Ovis aries: one gene and its partners. The protein of the gene in region 3 interacts with the protein of the main gene of each other region in a pairwise test. Links are inferred from orthologs where the notes say so. Each region holds a gene or a part of one and is shown on either strand. Other genes may lie near its edges.

Region 1 (4,100 bases), on a different chromosome or scaffold from region 3:
AAGACATTTATCAAAACTAAGAAACTAACACTGGTACAAGTACAGCACTTCTCAGATTGCACCAGTTTTCCCACTACTGTACTTTTTCTGTTCCAGGATCCCACACTAGTTGTCGTGTCTCCTTAGTTTCCTCTGTTCTGTAACAGTTCCTCAAACTTTCCTTGTCTTTTACAACCTTGACACTTCTGAAGAATACTGGTCAGTTATCTTGTAGCGTGTCCTTCAGCTTCGGTTTATCTGATGTGTCCTCATGATTAGGTTGTGCTTATGCATTACTAGAAGGGAATCAGAGTGATGATGGACCCCTTAATGCACCATATTAGGAGTACCTAATGTCAACATATATTACTGGTGATACTAACTTTGATCACCTGACTAAAGTAATGTCTGCCAGGACTGGATTCTCCACTATAAATTTAATATTTTCTCTTAAATATTTTGAGGAAAATACTGTCATTAACATTGTGATGGGGAGAATTCATCAGTAGGGAAACATACTTCACTGGAAAAGGAAAAACTTATTAGATAGGAAGTATGTAAACCGTATTTGGTTAAAGAGTCTGTAAAGACAAACAAATAGAGAAGTGAATGCTTTGAAATCTTGTGTTATATTAGCAAAAAATATTTTTAAAACAAAGAATGTCTAGAAGAACAGATCTTGGTCAAGATACATGAAAATTCAGGTAAGACAAAGAAACAGCTGTGAAGATTCCGAATTCTTGTCATCATAAAAATAAAGAAATCCAAGTGGAACAAAGGCTCTGGTAAGAAGTATGCTAGCATCACTATGCGATGCTCTGGTGCAGTAATCCTCTTATGCCTACCTAAGAAGTAACTGTGTTAGTCACTCAGTCGTGTCGACTCTTTGCGACCTCAAGGACTGTAGCCCGCCAGGCTTCTCTGTCCATGGAATTCTCCAGGGAAGAATACTGGAGTGGAGTGCCATTCCCTCCTCAAGAGGAACTTCCCAACCAAGGGATCGAACCCTGGTCTCTTGCCTCGCAGGCAGATTCTTCACTGTTTGAGCTACAGGGAAGTCTCCATAAGACGTAAAACCATATACGAATGGAGTAAATAACATCAGAAATGGAATAATGAGCAGTCAACTTTAGGTGAGAAATTGAGATATAGGAAAGGATTTGAATGGCTTAAAAAACCAAACTACTTGACTCTGTAGTTTCAAGAGCATTTAGGAACTGCTTATGTCGGAACTGGCATAAGTAAACCAAGTGTTCCATGTGTTGCCTGATCTACACTCAGCCATAACTATGTATAAAGGACCAGGACTGGAAGATGGAGAGCATGTTCTCATGGTGCCTTTCAGGGGCTGGCCTGAATCATCAGTAATAGAATCAGCTCCTCTTGCCACTGCCATAAAAGGTCAAACCCGTCTACTGAAGGAGGAGAATAGACCCAAAACTTTATGATCTCCATGTCACTGGACTGCCTCACATTGTTCACCATCTTCCTGCCTTGTCCATTGCCTTAGTTCAAAGTCCCAACTTAATTCCTACCCTCAGACCTGTTCAGGGTCCAACAGAACCTTCGGCTTACATTCAAAGGAGTCCCTGCTCCAACTGATGAAAGGTAAGGAACAGGTAAAGTAACGGAGGTACGTTCTTACTTGGGACCTGAATTGAAACACTGATCACATGTATTTACTTAAAAAATTTAAAAACGTATGTCTGTGTGAGCCCATATATACACACATATATATAAATATATAAATTGGGGTTAAATATATAAATTGGGGTTAGGATCATTACTATCTATGAATCACAGGTTAAACAGAATTTATACGGAAGTCTGAGAATAGTGTCCCTACAAGGAAACTATTAAAAAATCATTCTCAAGTACTACTTACATTCTTTAGAAAAAAGTCTCTTTCTTTTACCCTGTCCACCTTCTGCACCTCCTCCAATTTCTTCATTTTCTTCCTCAAACTGAAAGTTAAAACGTATAGATATGTCAAACACTGCTTCTGACATTTTAATAATTAGCTTTTTTTTTTTTTACATCTTCAACACCAGTATCATGCCAGAAAGCCTAAAGCAAGCAGCAAAAAACAATGAAACTTTAGCATTTTGGGGGCATTAAAACTATCTCGCCCAACTTCAGACTCACGCAGGAGTGGCTTCTACAATGCCCCGTTAGGCATCGTACTGCTTCTCCTGGGGGAGTTCCAACGACCATACATTCTTTTTTTAAACTAAGTTGGCCTATTTCTAGATAGTTTTACTATTAAAAGAGTTGATATTGAATGAAAGCAAGCAAAACTAGTATTTGTTAAGCATTTCCTACACAGTGCTAAGAACTTTCCTCAAGTAAACCTTAAGCCTATTTTATGACATGAAAACTGAGGCTCAATTACTTGCTCAGTGACTTGAGTCCATTATTTTTCCACTACTTTACAGTAAAGTGTACAGTTTTCTTAGCACTTGAATTGTTGTTGCATAATGAGCCCTAACAAACACTAGCTTTGCCCCCTGATGATTCTCTAGGTGATTCAAAGGGTATCTGGCAAATATGAACCAAAGGTAAAGGGCGGGGAGCCACCTACTCCTCCAGCCCCGCTTACTAAAAGGATGAATCAGAAGAAAAAGGCTAGCCCGGGGAGAAGTCCCCGATTCTCTCGGCAGAATCACTGAGGTAAAGAAACCCAATTCTCCACTATGCTTCCGCTACTGTGCTCGAGGTAGTAAATTAAAAAGTAGGTTGGAACAGAGGCGGTCACTCACGGTGGGATCCTCTTCTTCATCTGCCATCCCACCAGCCAGCCGCCTCCACTGCGCGCCCGCCTTCCTCGGAGAGCTTTTTACTACTTCCGCTGCCTCATTTCCGGTGACGAGAGGGGCCGGGGCGGGGCCTAGCGGAACCTCCCCTGTGGAAGAGGAACAAGCACCTCCCGCCCAGCGGTGAAACCTGAACAGCGAAGGATAAAGTCTTGGAAAGTAGGAATTAAACATTAGCATAGAAAAGGGATGAGCTAGATGGCGTGTATCTCGTTGTCACCTTGAGCTTTCTTCTGCGTATCAGATCTCCGCTTCCTGATTCGGTCCTGTGAAGCTTTGGATCATTGAGGGGCTAGACAGGGGTGAATTTAAACAATTTGAACAACTTAGAGTTCCACTATGATTTATTGCCAGGGCTTCCCTGGTGACTCAGATGGTAAAGAATCTGCTTTCAGTGGAAGACCTGGGTCCGATCTCTGTGTAGGGAAGATCCCTTGGAGAAGGAAATGGCAAACCACTACAGTATTCCTGCCTGGGAAATCCCAAGGACAAAGGAGCCTGGCGGGCTGCAGTCCAGTTCAGTTCAGTCGCTCAGTCGTGTCCGACTCTTTGCGACCCCATGAGCCAGAGCACGCCAGGCCTCCCTGTCCATCACTAACTCCCGGAGTTTACCCAAACTCATGTCCACTGAGTCGGTGATGCCATCCAGCCATCTCATCCTCTGTCGTACTCTTCTCCTGCCCTCAATCTTTCGCAGCATCAGGGTCTTTCCAAATGAGTCAGCCCTTCACATCAGGGGGCCAAAGTATTGGAGTTTCAGCTTCAACATCAGTCCTTCCAATGAACAGCCAGATCTCCCTAAGGATGGACTGATTGGATCTCCTTACAGTCCACGGGACTCTCAAGAGTCTTCTCCAACACCACAGTTCAAAATTATCAATTCTTTGGCGCTCAGCTTTCTTTATAGTCCAACTCTCACATCCATACACGACTACTGGAAAAACCATAGCTTTGACTAGACGAACCTTTGTTCACAAAGTTATGGCTCTGCTTTTTAATATGCTGTCTAGGTTGGTCATAACTTTCCTTCCAAGGAGTAAGCGTCTTTTAATTTCATGGCTGCAATCACCATCTGCAGTGATTTTGGGGCCCCCAAAAACAAAGTCAGCCACTGTTTCCACATCTATTTGCCATGAAGTGATGGGACCGGATGCCATGATCTTAGTTTTCTGAATGTTGAGCTTTAAGCCAACTTTTTCACTCTCCTCTTTCACTTTTATCAAGAGGCTCTTTAGTTCTTCACTTTCTGCCATAAGGGTGGTGTCATCTGCATATCTGAGGTTAGTGATTTTCTCCTAGCAATCTTGA
Region 2 (4,201 bases), on a different chromosome or scaffold from region 3:
TTGATGATGGACAGTGAGGCCTGGCGTGCTGCAGTCCACAGCATTGCAACAGGTTGGATGTGACTGAACTGAACTGAACTGATACCATAAATGCTTACCAAGTTTGAACTCCTTTCTAGTTCTTTGATGCCACTAAAACTCCTAAAAATATAAAAGGTTTTTCTGTATGCCACATTTACTGTTTTTGCTTAGTCTACCTCCTGTCTGATCTCACTTTCCCATATTAACTCTATGTTTTCCATTATCAATTGTTGTCCTCCCTAACCAGAAGGTCTGACATTGGCCCACTTTTCAATACCTTCTCCCCTGTACTTTCTCAGTAACTATCACCCAGGTGAGATATTCTCTATTCCAATGAGTTGGACATCTCCACCAGATGTAAGCTTAATAGTCTAAAGCAACTGAAACAAGATCTGTATCTTATACTTGAAATCCCTCAAATATATATCTTAGGTATTGAAAGGATAACAGTCACCTTTCATGTGACTGAAAATCAAACTTTTCCCTAGGTAAATTCTGTTCCTCCAATGTTTTCTCAAATAATAAAACTAAAGCTTCTCTACTCATTGAGGCTACATATGGGAATCTTTACACCTGTCTCCCTGAAGCTCTACTATTTTTCCTTTATGGAACAACTACATGCTCTAGTATCTTGACCATTCACATTAGCTCCTAACTGGTCTTTCAGCATCCAGTCATTCCTTCCTCAACACATATTCTGTCTCACGGCCAGAGCTACTTTTCTGAAAATTGATCTGATCTCTAAACATATTTCTCCCTTACTCAGAAATCATTCATGCTTTTCTGTTTACAAAATGAAGTCTAAAGTTCTCCGTGCTACAGTCAAAGCTCTTAACCTACCGTTCCAGTTTCATTTCCATTCACTCAACCCCTCCTATAGCCTCCTCTTTTCTTTATACTACAAAATGTACTGTCACTTCTCCATGACATTCTGCTCATGCTGTTTCATCTATTTACAATGTCATTTTTTCTTTTCTATCATAAACCCATCCAAATGTCCTATTTTCTGATGTATTTCTTAATTTCTCAACTTAATATTTACCACTGGCTTAGTCGGGCACTAATTTTAATTATATATCTATTATTATACACATATATATATATACACACTGTGCAGTCATACAGCCCACCAGGTTCCTCTCTCCATGGGATTCACTAGGCAAGAATACTGGAGTAGGTTGCCATTAGGCCTCTAGAAATCCTCCACTGCATCTAGGGTTTACTTCTGTTTCCCTCACTAAATCAAGAACTTCCTACTGGTCAGATCCTGTGTCTTAGCCACCTGGACTATCAAAATTCCTTACAGAGTAACTTCTTAAATTCATAATTGTCCCATCTTTTAGTCATTTAGTATATAGTTTTAAGTATCAAAAACATCTGGGGACTTTTTTCAAAAATACATACACTTCACTGACCATTCTGATATACTTTGGAGAAGGGGATGAGACTAGGGTAAACCAGCACATTTATCAAAAGCTCCTTTGGTGATACTGGTAAATCTCAGTCTAGACTTGAGATCGCAGTGAAAGTTACACAGCAAAGTTTCAAAGAACAGGTTTTCATTTGAGTATGGAAATATAGTCATGAAACAGTAGAGTAAGGATGGAAGGAATATATAAAAACAACTTAAGAGCGAGCCAGAACATTTTTCTCTGAGAGCTTAAGAACTTACTCTTTGGTTCAGTAGGACTAGATCAGAAATGCATCACAGGTAAATGAAGAGGCAGATTTCCCTTGCAAAACATGGACTGGCAGTGCCTGCTATGGCAGTAGTTACACAAGTAGCCTTTAATAATATAACCAGCAAAAAATGTAGTCATCCTTTTTTTTTTTTTTTTTGCTTAAGGATTAGTTAGTTACCTTATATGCCCAATTACTATGCTTCACAAGTCTCCTTCTGACCACCTATTTTCTGGAAAATAGCTGAAAAAAGTAAAACTTCACTGACCACGCCTTTCCTCCGACAAAAATAAAACTTGTTTTTAAAGTTCCTTACAATATGTGACATTTTTTACTGCTCTAGATTTATCAAAGATTTAGAACCCAAACTTAAAAGGAATATCCCAATCTCGTCCTTAGTAATAATGATCAAACTATGTTGCCAGTAGGTTTCAAAAAACATTGCTAGTAAGGATCTTATAGTGGTTTTTAAATCTGAAAGCAACTGCGAACTGTTTACAAAAACGATTCTGAAACCCACACTGCACTTCTCGCAAGACGGCAAGTCAGTTACCTATTTTCGTTTACCGATAAAAATCGTCTTTAGAAAGTTATTAATAACAATGCATTCAAAGAAAAAATATGTAAAAACAAATTATGGATATTACTACTTATAAGAAGGAAAATATGTATTTGAGTCAAACGTCAAACCTACACTCCACCTATACCATATCGCATGCCTAAATGGCAAGAAAGTATCCCAGCCCTCCATCTCACGTGCACACTATCCCCTGAAAAATCTCAAACCCTGTTCCAAACAACCTTCCTAACAAAGATCGGTGATCACGCCTTTCTTATTACAGGCCAAACCCGAGTTCTCCAGAGGCGAAAAGGACTAAGGAAAAAAGCAAGAAAGAGGCCCCCAGGAAGAAACACGTGGGGAAGGAGGAAAGCGAAAAACCTGCACCCTCAGGTGGGGTTAGAGGCACCTGGCCTCGCACATCAGGCTGAGGGGGTACTAGTCACGGACCTTTCTGAACAACACGCAACTGCAGCGCACCATGCCTGCGAAGGGCGAGTATTCCCTCCAGCGGAAGCTGTACTCACATAAGTACGGCGCTGCCTTTTTACGTCACCGCCGACCAACGCAGCTATTTTGTGTTCGCACGCTTTCCCCCCGCCCCCCTCGTGCCTGACAGCCATTCATACCGTAATGCGCGCGGGGGGGCGCGCTCGGAAAAACATGCGCATGCGCAATGCAGTGCCCCGTCCCCACCCCCACCCCCCCTTACCCTGTGCGGAGGTGGAAAGTGGCGCTTGGCGGCAGGCTGAATAAAACGCTGAGGAAAGGTCGAGAGGCAGTGTGACAGGGGACAGTCGGGTGCGAAGTGGTTGTCTCAGGAATATTTTGAATAGGATGGCACTAGAACCTGGGCTGCCTTGGAGGAGTTCTTATGCTTTGGAAACCGCAAGTTACCTCAGTCTCTTCACTCTTGGCGAAGCAGAGTGGGGGAAAAAAAACTCCCACGGACGGTAAAAACTAACGCGTGAAAAACTCAGACTCAGCTGGGGAAAACAAACAGACAAAAAACTTTAATTCACTGACCAGCTGAGTAATGTCTAGCAAAAGCTTCCAGGAGCTATTTTACGATTTGGGACCCGACAGTCAGGATCTGAGTTATATAAGAATTTCATTGCGTTCTGTGGGGAAGGAATCTTGCAACTGTTAGTAGCTTCTAGGTATGTTCTGTGCTTCAGTCTTGTCAGACTCTTTTCGACTCCATGGACTGTAGCCCGCCAGTCTCCTCTGTCCATGGAATTCTCCAGGCAAGAATACTAGAGTGGGTTGCCATTTCCTCCTCCAAGCTTCTAGGGGTCCAATAGATATTATGGGTCATCATTATCCAACTCGTCTGAAGCGCGCCTCAGGCAGGGCAGGACCCGCATAGCGGCGGGGTCGCAGTCCGCCCAGCCACCCCCTCTTCTGCCCTCACGCGGAGAATGGACATACACAGTCCTGCTGGGCGGCTCTGGATTATTCTCCCATCCTTATCATCTTTCTGAATTTAAGACAATCCTCCCATTTCTACCCCTAATTTACGACACGATGTAGAAACTATCCCTCTCTGTGTTGATTCTTTTCCTACTACTGAACCGCTCTCTACTCCCCCATCAATAAAACTATAATTGTCATTTAATTAATCAGGATGTTAGGCTGAGAATTCCCTGGGTCCACTGGTGAGGAACGGCACGCTTTGACTACAGAAGACCCGGGTTCAATCCCGGTAGGGGGAAATAAGATCCCACAAGCCCAGCAGGACAGCCAAAAAATAAAGGAAACTAGGTTGTTACTACTTGGATGATTACTCAATAACGTTTGTGTCCTTTTTGATTATTATCCTTACTAGGTCTTATAATGTCAGAATTATGTTGAGCCCAATCTGTTTATTTTCTAAGGTTTATTTCCTAGTGAACACAAGCCCAGATTGTTTTCTTTGTCATAACATTTACATGGGAACAT
Region 3 (3,511 bases):
TGCGCGCATGAAAGGCCGCGACGAAGCGACTGGGCATGCGCGCGGGGCCAGGCGGGCCGGCACGCGGCGGTCACCACTCCCCACCGGTGGGAACCCTCGTGGACCCGGCGCCGCAGCTCAGCCCGCAGCGTGGTGGCGTCATCTGGGCGTCATGCTGACTCTGGCGGGAGAGGAGGGCCCGGAGGAGGAGCTGCGGTACACAGGGGATGTGGGGGACAGTTTAATGGGGCTGGTCGGGTCCCCGGTTTGGAGCTTCCATAGCAGCTCTTCATTGGTCCGGCTCAGCCTCTTCTTCTCCTGCGTTTCTTTCTCCACATATTCCTGGAGGTTCGCGTTCTCCTCCGACAGCTGTCTGCATGGGGGTGGGGTGGGGGGGGGGAGGGGACAAGCAACAGTTAGAGTAGCAATGGCAGAGAAGACGCTGAGCCCGAGGTCGGCCGGGCCCAGGGGCGCACAGGGAACGGGGTGTGTGGTGGGTTCCTGTGGACCTCAGGGATCAAGCCCAGGGGTTGAAACACAATCACCACCTGTCCCACCCACACAATCCTCTCCCAGAGTCTCTCTGCCAACACCTGATTTCGCCTACAGTCCCTCTGCCCTGGGTCAGGGGAGGCGCTGGTGGCCAGTGGACAGAGCAAAAGCTGCAGGTGGTGTGGGGGACACTGAGCCATAAGGACGGCCCCGGGGAGTCAGTGGTGCCGACGGCCTCTGCAGCCTGCCCTCACCCTGGGCCTCCCTGGCAGCAGTCAGCTTGCACTGCAACCTTCTGGGCAGTGCATCTGGTCGCCTGCTGGAGCTAGAGCCCTAGGATGGGGCCAGAGCGGTCCCTTCTCCAGTGCTCGGCACCCAGCCTGGGGCCCGGCCCGTAACAGATGCTCCATGGGTGTCTGCGGCTGATGCACGCCAAGTAGAAAGGAACCCGATGTGTTTTGTGCCTCTGTCGTCACTGCAGCCGGGTTGCTGCTCCTCCCTTCCTGGAAGTCGGAGCCTCGGAGCAGGTTAGGAGCACGGAGATGGAAGTGGCTGCATGGTCCGGTCCCTCCCTGCTGCCCTCCAGCTGGGGCAGCTCCCCTCTGCCATTGGCCGAGTGCCGGGGCAGCAGCTGGGCACTGCTGGAGCCCAGGGTCGGCTGGCTCACATGGTTGTTTTCTTTAGCCTGGAACTCCCAGCGGGCAGCCCTTCCAAAACCTCCTCCACGATCCCCACCACTCCTGCCCCTGCCCCTGCCAGCTGTGCCACACACTTTATCCCACCCAACTCCTTTCCACCAAGGAGGGTGCTCCGTGCAGCCAGGGCATTGGCTGGGTGCTCAGAGCAGTGTGTTCTATGCTTTCTTCCACGTGGGGAGCGCCGAGAGCCTGCGTGGGGAAGCCTTGGGGCTCGGAGGAGCAAGGACAAAAGCAGAGCCCTCCAAGGTCAGGAGCAAAGCCATTCTGTCTGGGACACGCGCTTCTGAGGCTCCATCACCCAGGCCCACCTACCTTGTGACCACGGTGTTCTGGTCGATCCTGGCCTTGAGGTCTTCGTTCTGCTGCTGGAGAACTTGGATCTTCTCTTCCAGGATGATGTTCTTTTCTGCCTATAAAAGATGGAGTGTCAAGAGCTCCGCAGCCAGGCCCTGGGGGAGACGACAGACCAGTGCCCTTGGCTTCCGGGCTTTGAAGGATTATCTAAAACAGTGTTTTTCAAACTGCAATTTGCAATGCATTGGCTATAAAACCAGGCTAGAGGGACATGACCAGCATTGCTTTTTTAAACAAAAGAAAACAGAATAAAAAATACCAGAGTGCACTGTAAAAGTACTGTTTTATATATATATACGTATATCTTTCTTATATATATGTAGGTATATAATATGTCTGTGTGTATATATCGGTATATATTATGAATTATGGGGCTTCCCAGGTGGTGCTAATGGTAAAGAACCTGCCTGCAGTGTAGGAGACCCGGGTTCGATCCCTGGGTCCGGAAGATCTGGAGAAGGACATGGCAAGCCACTCCAGTATTCTTGCTTGGAGAAACCTATGGACAGAGGAGCCTGGCGGGCTACACAGTCCATGGGGTCGCAAAGACTTGAACACAACTGAAGCAACTTAGCATGCATGCATTTCCTGGGAACAAAGATGAGGTGGGCGTGGGAGCCTTGCTGAAGAGCTGGCTAAAGCCCAGTCCTTCCACTCTGATACCTCAGCCCAATGCACAGAGGGGTGGTGGTTTTCCTTAACTACCCTACGCAGGAGTTCTTCATAGTCTTTTCAAAAAAGAGTTTCTCAGTTCATCTTAGAATGGAGCTCGACTTCAGCTAGGTCTCAGGCCGTGGGGACACACGGACAGAGAGCGGGCATTAAGTCTCAAAGGAATAACCACCATGGAGGAGGATGTTATTTTCTGTTCTTGTGCAGAGCTGGCTTGAGCTGCACGTTCCTGGCTGCCGAGAGCCTCAGGAGGGAAAGTGTGTCCACATTATTGATATTTTCATCCCTCCATTAATTCAGAATGTCATGTTGTACATACAGGTACTGCCAGAGGTGCCAGTGCAGGGCGGAGGACCCGACAGGGAGAACCAGGGGATCCACCAGCCAAACTGGACCTGGCGGGTGCTCATGGCTCATCTCTGACAATGGCAGGGGCATGGAGACACTCACTATGAGAAGTGTATTCTACACAGGAATCCAATATAGGCACGCACATAAATTGTGTAGATGTAATTCACTATGCATGTGGTGCTAGGTTGCTTCAGTTGTGTCCAACTCTTCGCGAACCTATGAACCACAGCCTGCCAGGCTCCTCTATCCATGGAATTCCCCAGGGAAGAATACTGGAGTGGGTTGCCATTTAATTCTCCAGGGGATCTTTCCTGATCCAGGGGATGTAATGTGGGTGTCCTGTATTGCAGGGAGATTCTTTACCATCTGACCACCAAGGAAGCCCTCCTAGGAAATGGGAAGTGATGCAATCAACTCTCCCGCCCCCCACCCCCACCCCTGCCTGGAACGGTTTCTGGAATGAGAACTCTTGCATGCCCACAGAGTGCCTCAGTTCAGTTCAGTCACTCAGTCGTGTCGTGTCCGACTGAGTGTCCGACTCTTTGCAACCCCATGAATCGCAGCACTCCAGGCCTCCCTGTCCATCACCAACTCCTGGAGGTCACTCAGACTCACGGCCATCGAGTCAGTGATGCCATCCAGCCATCTCATCCTCTGTCATCCCCTTCTCATCCTGCCCCCAATCCCTCCCAGCATCAGAGTCTTTTCCAATGGGTCAACTCTTCACATGAGGTGGCCAAAGTACTGGAGTTTCAGCTTTAGCATCATTCCTTCCAAAGAAATCCCAGGGTGGATCTCCTTCAGAATGGATTGGTTGGATCTCCTTGCAGTCCAAGGGACTCTCAAGAGTCTTCTCCAACACCACACTTCAAAAGCATCAGTTCTTCGGTGCTCAGCCTTCTTCACAGTCGAACTCTCACATCCATACATGACCACAGGAAAAACCATAGCCTTGACTAGACGGA
Region 4 (4,167 bases), on a different chromosome or scaffold from region 3:
ATTCTGAGGTCACATTCAGGATGGGCTCAGTATTCGTCTGTCTCTGGGGCAGTGACGGAGCCAGGAGCCTCAGGGCCCTGTCCAGGTGTGGTGTGGGATGGCAAGTAGCTCCGTGGGACGGCCCGGAGCAGCCTACGCCTCTGGCCTGTATTTCTGAGACTTACCTGGGCGCTGGGCATTGACCCGGATGGGACAACAGAGGTCTCGGAGGGAAAAGCACTCTGAACTCATGGGACAGTCCCCTCCGGATGCGCGTGGCACTGAGGCCTCCCCCCTCCCCGCCCTTGCTCCTTGAGTCCCCTAGCTTCTGTCCCCGGGATCTCGGGCATTAAATGGAAGGAGGCTACTCGGGTCCCGGCCTCCGTGGACTGTTTCTCAGGCGGCCGGCACGCGGACGCGGCCGAGGTCGCCCCCGCCGCCGGCAGCTGCGGACGGCGCGGCGGGAACAAAGGCAGCACGTGTCTGGGCGGGGCGGCGGGCGGGGTCGCTCCCCGGCCCCGCCCCAGCCCTCCCCTCCCGGCGCTCCCCACCCGCCCGAGCTCAGCTGCGCGGTGCGCTCCCGAGTCTCACGCGGCCGGGCTGCTGCTGGCGCGGCAGCGCCGAGCGGGCGGTGAGCAGTGCGAGGAGGGGGCGGCCCCGCGGGGCGGGGCGGGGAGGTGCCGTGAGTCCTCGCCGCCAGAGTCCGGGTCCTGGATGGGGCGCGGCGAGTAGAGAGGCGCCCGGGGCTCGCGGCCGCGTCGCTGCCCGCACCGCGCGCCGCTCGTGCTGAGCACGGCGGCGGCCCCGGCTCCCGGGTGAGACCAGGCCCGGCCGGCGCGTGGGCCGCGCGCGCGCGCCCGAGAGGGAGGCCGCTGAGGTGCGCGCCGGGGCGGGCGCGGGCGCGGCGGCGGCGGCGGCGGCGGCGAAGGCGGCCGAGCGGGGGGCGGGGCCGCAGCGTCTGCAGAACCTTGGACAGAAGCTCCCGAGCCGCCGCCGCCGCGCGCGAGCCCCGCCGAGCCCCGGGACCGCGGCGCTGAGCCGCGGCGCGCATTGCGGAAGGTGCGGAGCGCCGGAGCCACCTGCTCGGTAAGCCTGCGCCTCGGGCCGCCCGCTGCCCCCAGGAGACCGGGGCCGCGGCCGCGCGCGGTGTCGAGGCGGGGTCCCCGGCCGCCTCCGCCGGCGCCCGGGCCCCCGCGCTGCCATCCGGACCGCGGCGGGAGCGGGTGCCGGTGCCGCAGTGGAGAGGCCGGGGTTGCGGCGCGGGGACGCGGGCGGGGCCGTGTCAACCGGGGAAGGCCCCGGGCGCGGGGTTGGGGCCGCGGCCGCCGAGGCCGGGGCGGAGGAGCGCGGCGCGAGCCCCGCCTGATGCTGAGAACCATCTTGTTTTTCCCCTCACAGATCCGGAGGGGCGGCACGCGACCTCGGGAGCGCCCCCGCCTCCCCCTGGCCGCCGCGGGCTCGGTGAGCTTCTTCCCTCCAGCCGGCAGGCTGGGCGCGCAGGGGCGCGGGTCCCCGCCCGGCGCGCAGCGACACCATGGGCACGGTGCTGTCCCTGTCCCCCAGCTACCGGAAGGCCACGCTGTTTGAGGATGGCGCGGCCACGGTGGGCCACTACACGGCCGTGCAGAACAGCAAGAACGCCAAGGACAAGAACCTGAAGCGGCACTCCATCATCTCCGTGCTGCCGTGGAAGAGGATCGTGGCCGTGTCGGCCAAGAAGAAGAACTCTAAGAAGGTGCAGCCCAACAGCAGCTACCAGAACAACATCACGCACCTCAACAATGAGAACCTGAAGAAGTCGCTGTCGTGCGCCAACCTGTCCACGTTCGCCCAGCCCCCGCCGGCCCAGCCGCCCGCCCCCCCTGCCAGCCAGCTCTCGGGTTCGCAGACCGGGGTCTCCTCGTCCGTCAAGAAGGCCCCGCACCCCGCCGTCAGCTCCGCAGGGACGCCCAAACGGGTCATCGTCCAGGCGTCCACCAGCGAGCTGCTGCGCTGCCTGGGCGAGTTCCTCTGTCGCCGGTGCTACCGCCTGAAGCACCTGTCCCCCACGGACCCTGTGCTCTGGCTGCGCAGCGTGGACCGCTCGCTGCTGCTGCAGGGCTGGCAGGACCAGGGCTTCATCACGCCGGCCAACGTGGTCTTCCTGTACATGCTCTGCCGGGACGTCATCTCCTCCGAGGTGGGTTCCGACCACGAGCTCCAGGCAGTCCTGCTGACCTGCCTGTACCTCTCCTACTCCTACATGGGCAACGAGATCTCTTACCCGCTCAAGCCCTTCCTGGTGGAGAGCTGCAAGGAGGCCTTTTGGGACCGCTGCCTCTCCGTCATCAACCTCATGAGCTCCAAGATGCTGCAGATCAACGCCGACCCCCACTACTTCACGCAGGTGTTCTCAGACCTGAAGAACGAGAGCGGCCAGGAGGACAAGAAGCGGCTCCTCCTCGGGCTGGACCGGTGAGCCCGCCAGCCTGCATCATGGCTCAAGGATTCAATTCATTTTTAAAAATTTATTCTTAAATCAGATTTTGTGTACAGTATGTGTCTAGCAAAGCCACCAAGGGCCTCTCCCTTCCCACCTCCCCTCCTTGGGGTTTTCCTCTGCCCTGCCAAGAACCCTGGGCGCTTCTGAACTCCCAAACCTCGTGCAACATTCAGAAGATGTATTCAGAGCCGCCCTGGCCCCGACCTCTCACTCTGGGGAATTGAAAGGACTGACTGACCTCTGCCGCCTGCGCCCTTGCTGGACCAAGGCAGGGAAGGCGGCCCACAGCCAGGCAGCCCAGGGAGGAACTGGAGTTTCTGGTTGGAGGCCTTTTGCTGGCTCCTGTTCTGGGTCGTCTGTTCTCCCAGAGGCTCCTGGAGCTGGCCACCTGGACTGCACCGCACGCGGGCTTAGGAGGCCGAACGCCCGTGGCTCCAGGACAGCCTCTTCAATTGAGGGGAAGCCGGCCTGATGTGAAGATCATGTCCTCTAATTTGGCCATGCACGACCCTGGTTTGCTCTTTTTTCTTTTTTAGGGAGAAGGGCTTTCCTTTCGTGGAGACATGGAACCGCCCCCCACCCCCCAACCTCCCTTCCTTCATCCTCCACCCCCAGCCCTGTTGGTAGTGTTGGTTAATGAGCTGGTTTGACTAAGTTCTTTCATTTTGGGTCCCGGCTCCCAAGGGGTGGGGTGACGCCAGGGACAACTCCTTTCTTGGGTGAATTTTTCATTTGAATCATGCAGCTTAGTCACCCCGTGGCGAAGGCCAGGGCAGCTGCAGGTGCCCATTGTCAACAGCCTGCCTCCCGGGCAGGTGGGGCTGCCATGCCTGGGACTGAGCAAGTGCCCATGACATTTGCGCCTGTGGAGCTGCAGGGGTTGGGGCGGGGGCAGGGGCCAGGGTGATGTGGTAATGATGCACCCCTCCCCTCACCCCCTGTTGATTTAAAGCTGTTTCCAAACAGTTGAGTCTCTTCTGAAGACGAAGCCTTGTCCCAAAAGGCCCAGGGAGACAGCTGGATCTTGGAGACAATTATGAGCCGGGAGTCGAGCTCCTGACTGCCTGCTGATTCTCCCGCTGGTCATTTGCAGCTGCCGGTTTGGGTCTCCACCTTCAACCTCAGTGGCTGTAAAAAAAACCCATGGTGTGTCACTTAATTTTCTTTCTGATTCTCCCAGATCGGTGGCTGGGGGCTTGGGAGAGGACCCAGAGAAGGGAACCAGCCTTCCGCGATCCCTCTGGCTTTGGGGAACAAAGACTGATGTGAAGGCCTACAGAGAATTCTCTCTTCCAGTCTCAACCCCCCAAGGGGGGCTGGAAGGGGAGGCTGGGGGTGAGGGAGGCAGGGGGCCGTTTTACAGAGGATTAGCTTCCAGGTGGCTGCCGTTTCAGCACAAGCACTACTGAAATTCACATAAAAAAGAGAAAGCTGTGAAACAGGTCCCGATTTAATAGGCCCAGCGTCGAGCCTGTGGCCCTGTGGTGCTCGCGAGAGCGAGGGCCTGCCCCAAGCTGGGAGCACGGGCCTCAGCTGCGCCCCAAGGCCCATGCCGAGCCGCTCCCGGGACTGCCGGCCAGATTTACCTGCCGCAGGGCTGGAAGGAGCCCGCGGCTGCCGGCGGGGACCTCGCGTGCAGAGCCTCTTCCCCGCGGGAGTTGTCACACGGCCTGTCTGTGCGGATCCTGCTGCCGTGTGTGACCCGA

What was found.
Region 1: the proteins of MTUS2 (region 3) and TAF13 interact in binary tests that used the Homo sapiens proteins (3 or more experiments, as listed by UniProt). The two-hybrid records come from large-scale screens. The link is inferred for Ovis aries from reciprocal best matches to the Homo sapiens genes MTUS2 and TAF13.
Region 2: the proteins of MTUS2 (region 3) and GTPBP10 interact in binary tests that used the Homo sapiens proteins (3 or more experiments, as listed by UniProt). The two-hybrid records come from large-scale screens. The link is inferred for Ovis aries from reciprocal best matches to the Homo sapiens genes MTUS2 and GTPBP10.
Region 4: the proteins of MTUS2 (region 3) and CDK5R1 interact in binary tests that used the Homo sapiens proteins (3 or more experiments, as listed by UniProt). The two-hybrid records come from large-scale screens. The link is inferred for Ovis aries from reciprocal best matches to the Homo sapiens genes MTUS2 and CDK5R1.

The regions. Positions count from the first base shown.
Region 1 is NC_056054.1:86,377,826-86,381,925, forward strand, and holds the start of TAF13 (transcription initiation factor TFIID subunit 13), read right to left. Parts: upstream 2,810-4,100; 5' UTR 2,766-2,809; coding exon 2,739-2,765; intron 1,944-2,738; coding exon 1,865-1,943; intron 1-1,864. UniProt on the Homo sapiens protein: The TFIID basal transcription factor complex plays a major role in the initiation of RNA polymerase II (Pol II)-dependent transcription.
Region 2 is NC_056057.1:76,144,359-76,148,559, reverse strand, and holds the start of GTPBP10 (GTP-binding protein 10), read right to left. Parts: upstream 2,810-4,201; 5' UTR 2,744-2,809; coding exon 2,711-2,743; exon of another isoform or gene 1,694-2,710; intron 1-1,693. UniProt on the Homo sapiens protein: May be involved in the ribosome maturation process. Complements an ObgE(CgtA) function in E.coli ribosome maturation. Plays a role of GTPase in vitro. When missing, disorganization of the nucleolar architecture is observed.
Region 3 is NC_056063.1:31,296,054-31,299,564, forward strand, and holds part of MTUS2 (microtubule-associated tumor suppressor candidate 2), read right to left. Parts: intron 1,580-3,511; coding exon 1,482-1,579; intron 353-1,481; coding exon 139-352; 3' UTR 1-138. UniProt on the Homo sapiens protein: Binds microtubules. Together with MAPRE1 may target the microtubule depolymerase KIF2C to the plus-end of microtubules. May regulate the dynamics of microtubules at their growing distal tip.
Region 4 is NC_056064.1:17,453,831-17,457,997, reverse strand, and holds the start of CDK5R1 (cyclin-dependent kinase 5 activator 1), read left to right. Parts: upstream 1-1,358; intron 1,359-1,377; 5' UTR 1,378-1,513; coding exon 1,514-2,437; 3' UTR 2,438-4,167. Other genes in the region: proline-rich protein 2-like, read right to left, coding at 567-1,358. UniProt on the Homo sapiens protein: p35 is a neuron specific activator of CDK5. The complex p35/CDK5 is required for neurite outgrowth and cortical lamination. Involved in dendritic spine morphogenesis by mediating the EFNA1-EPHA4 signaling. Activator of TPKII.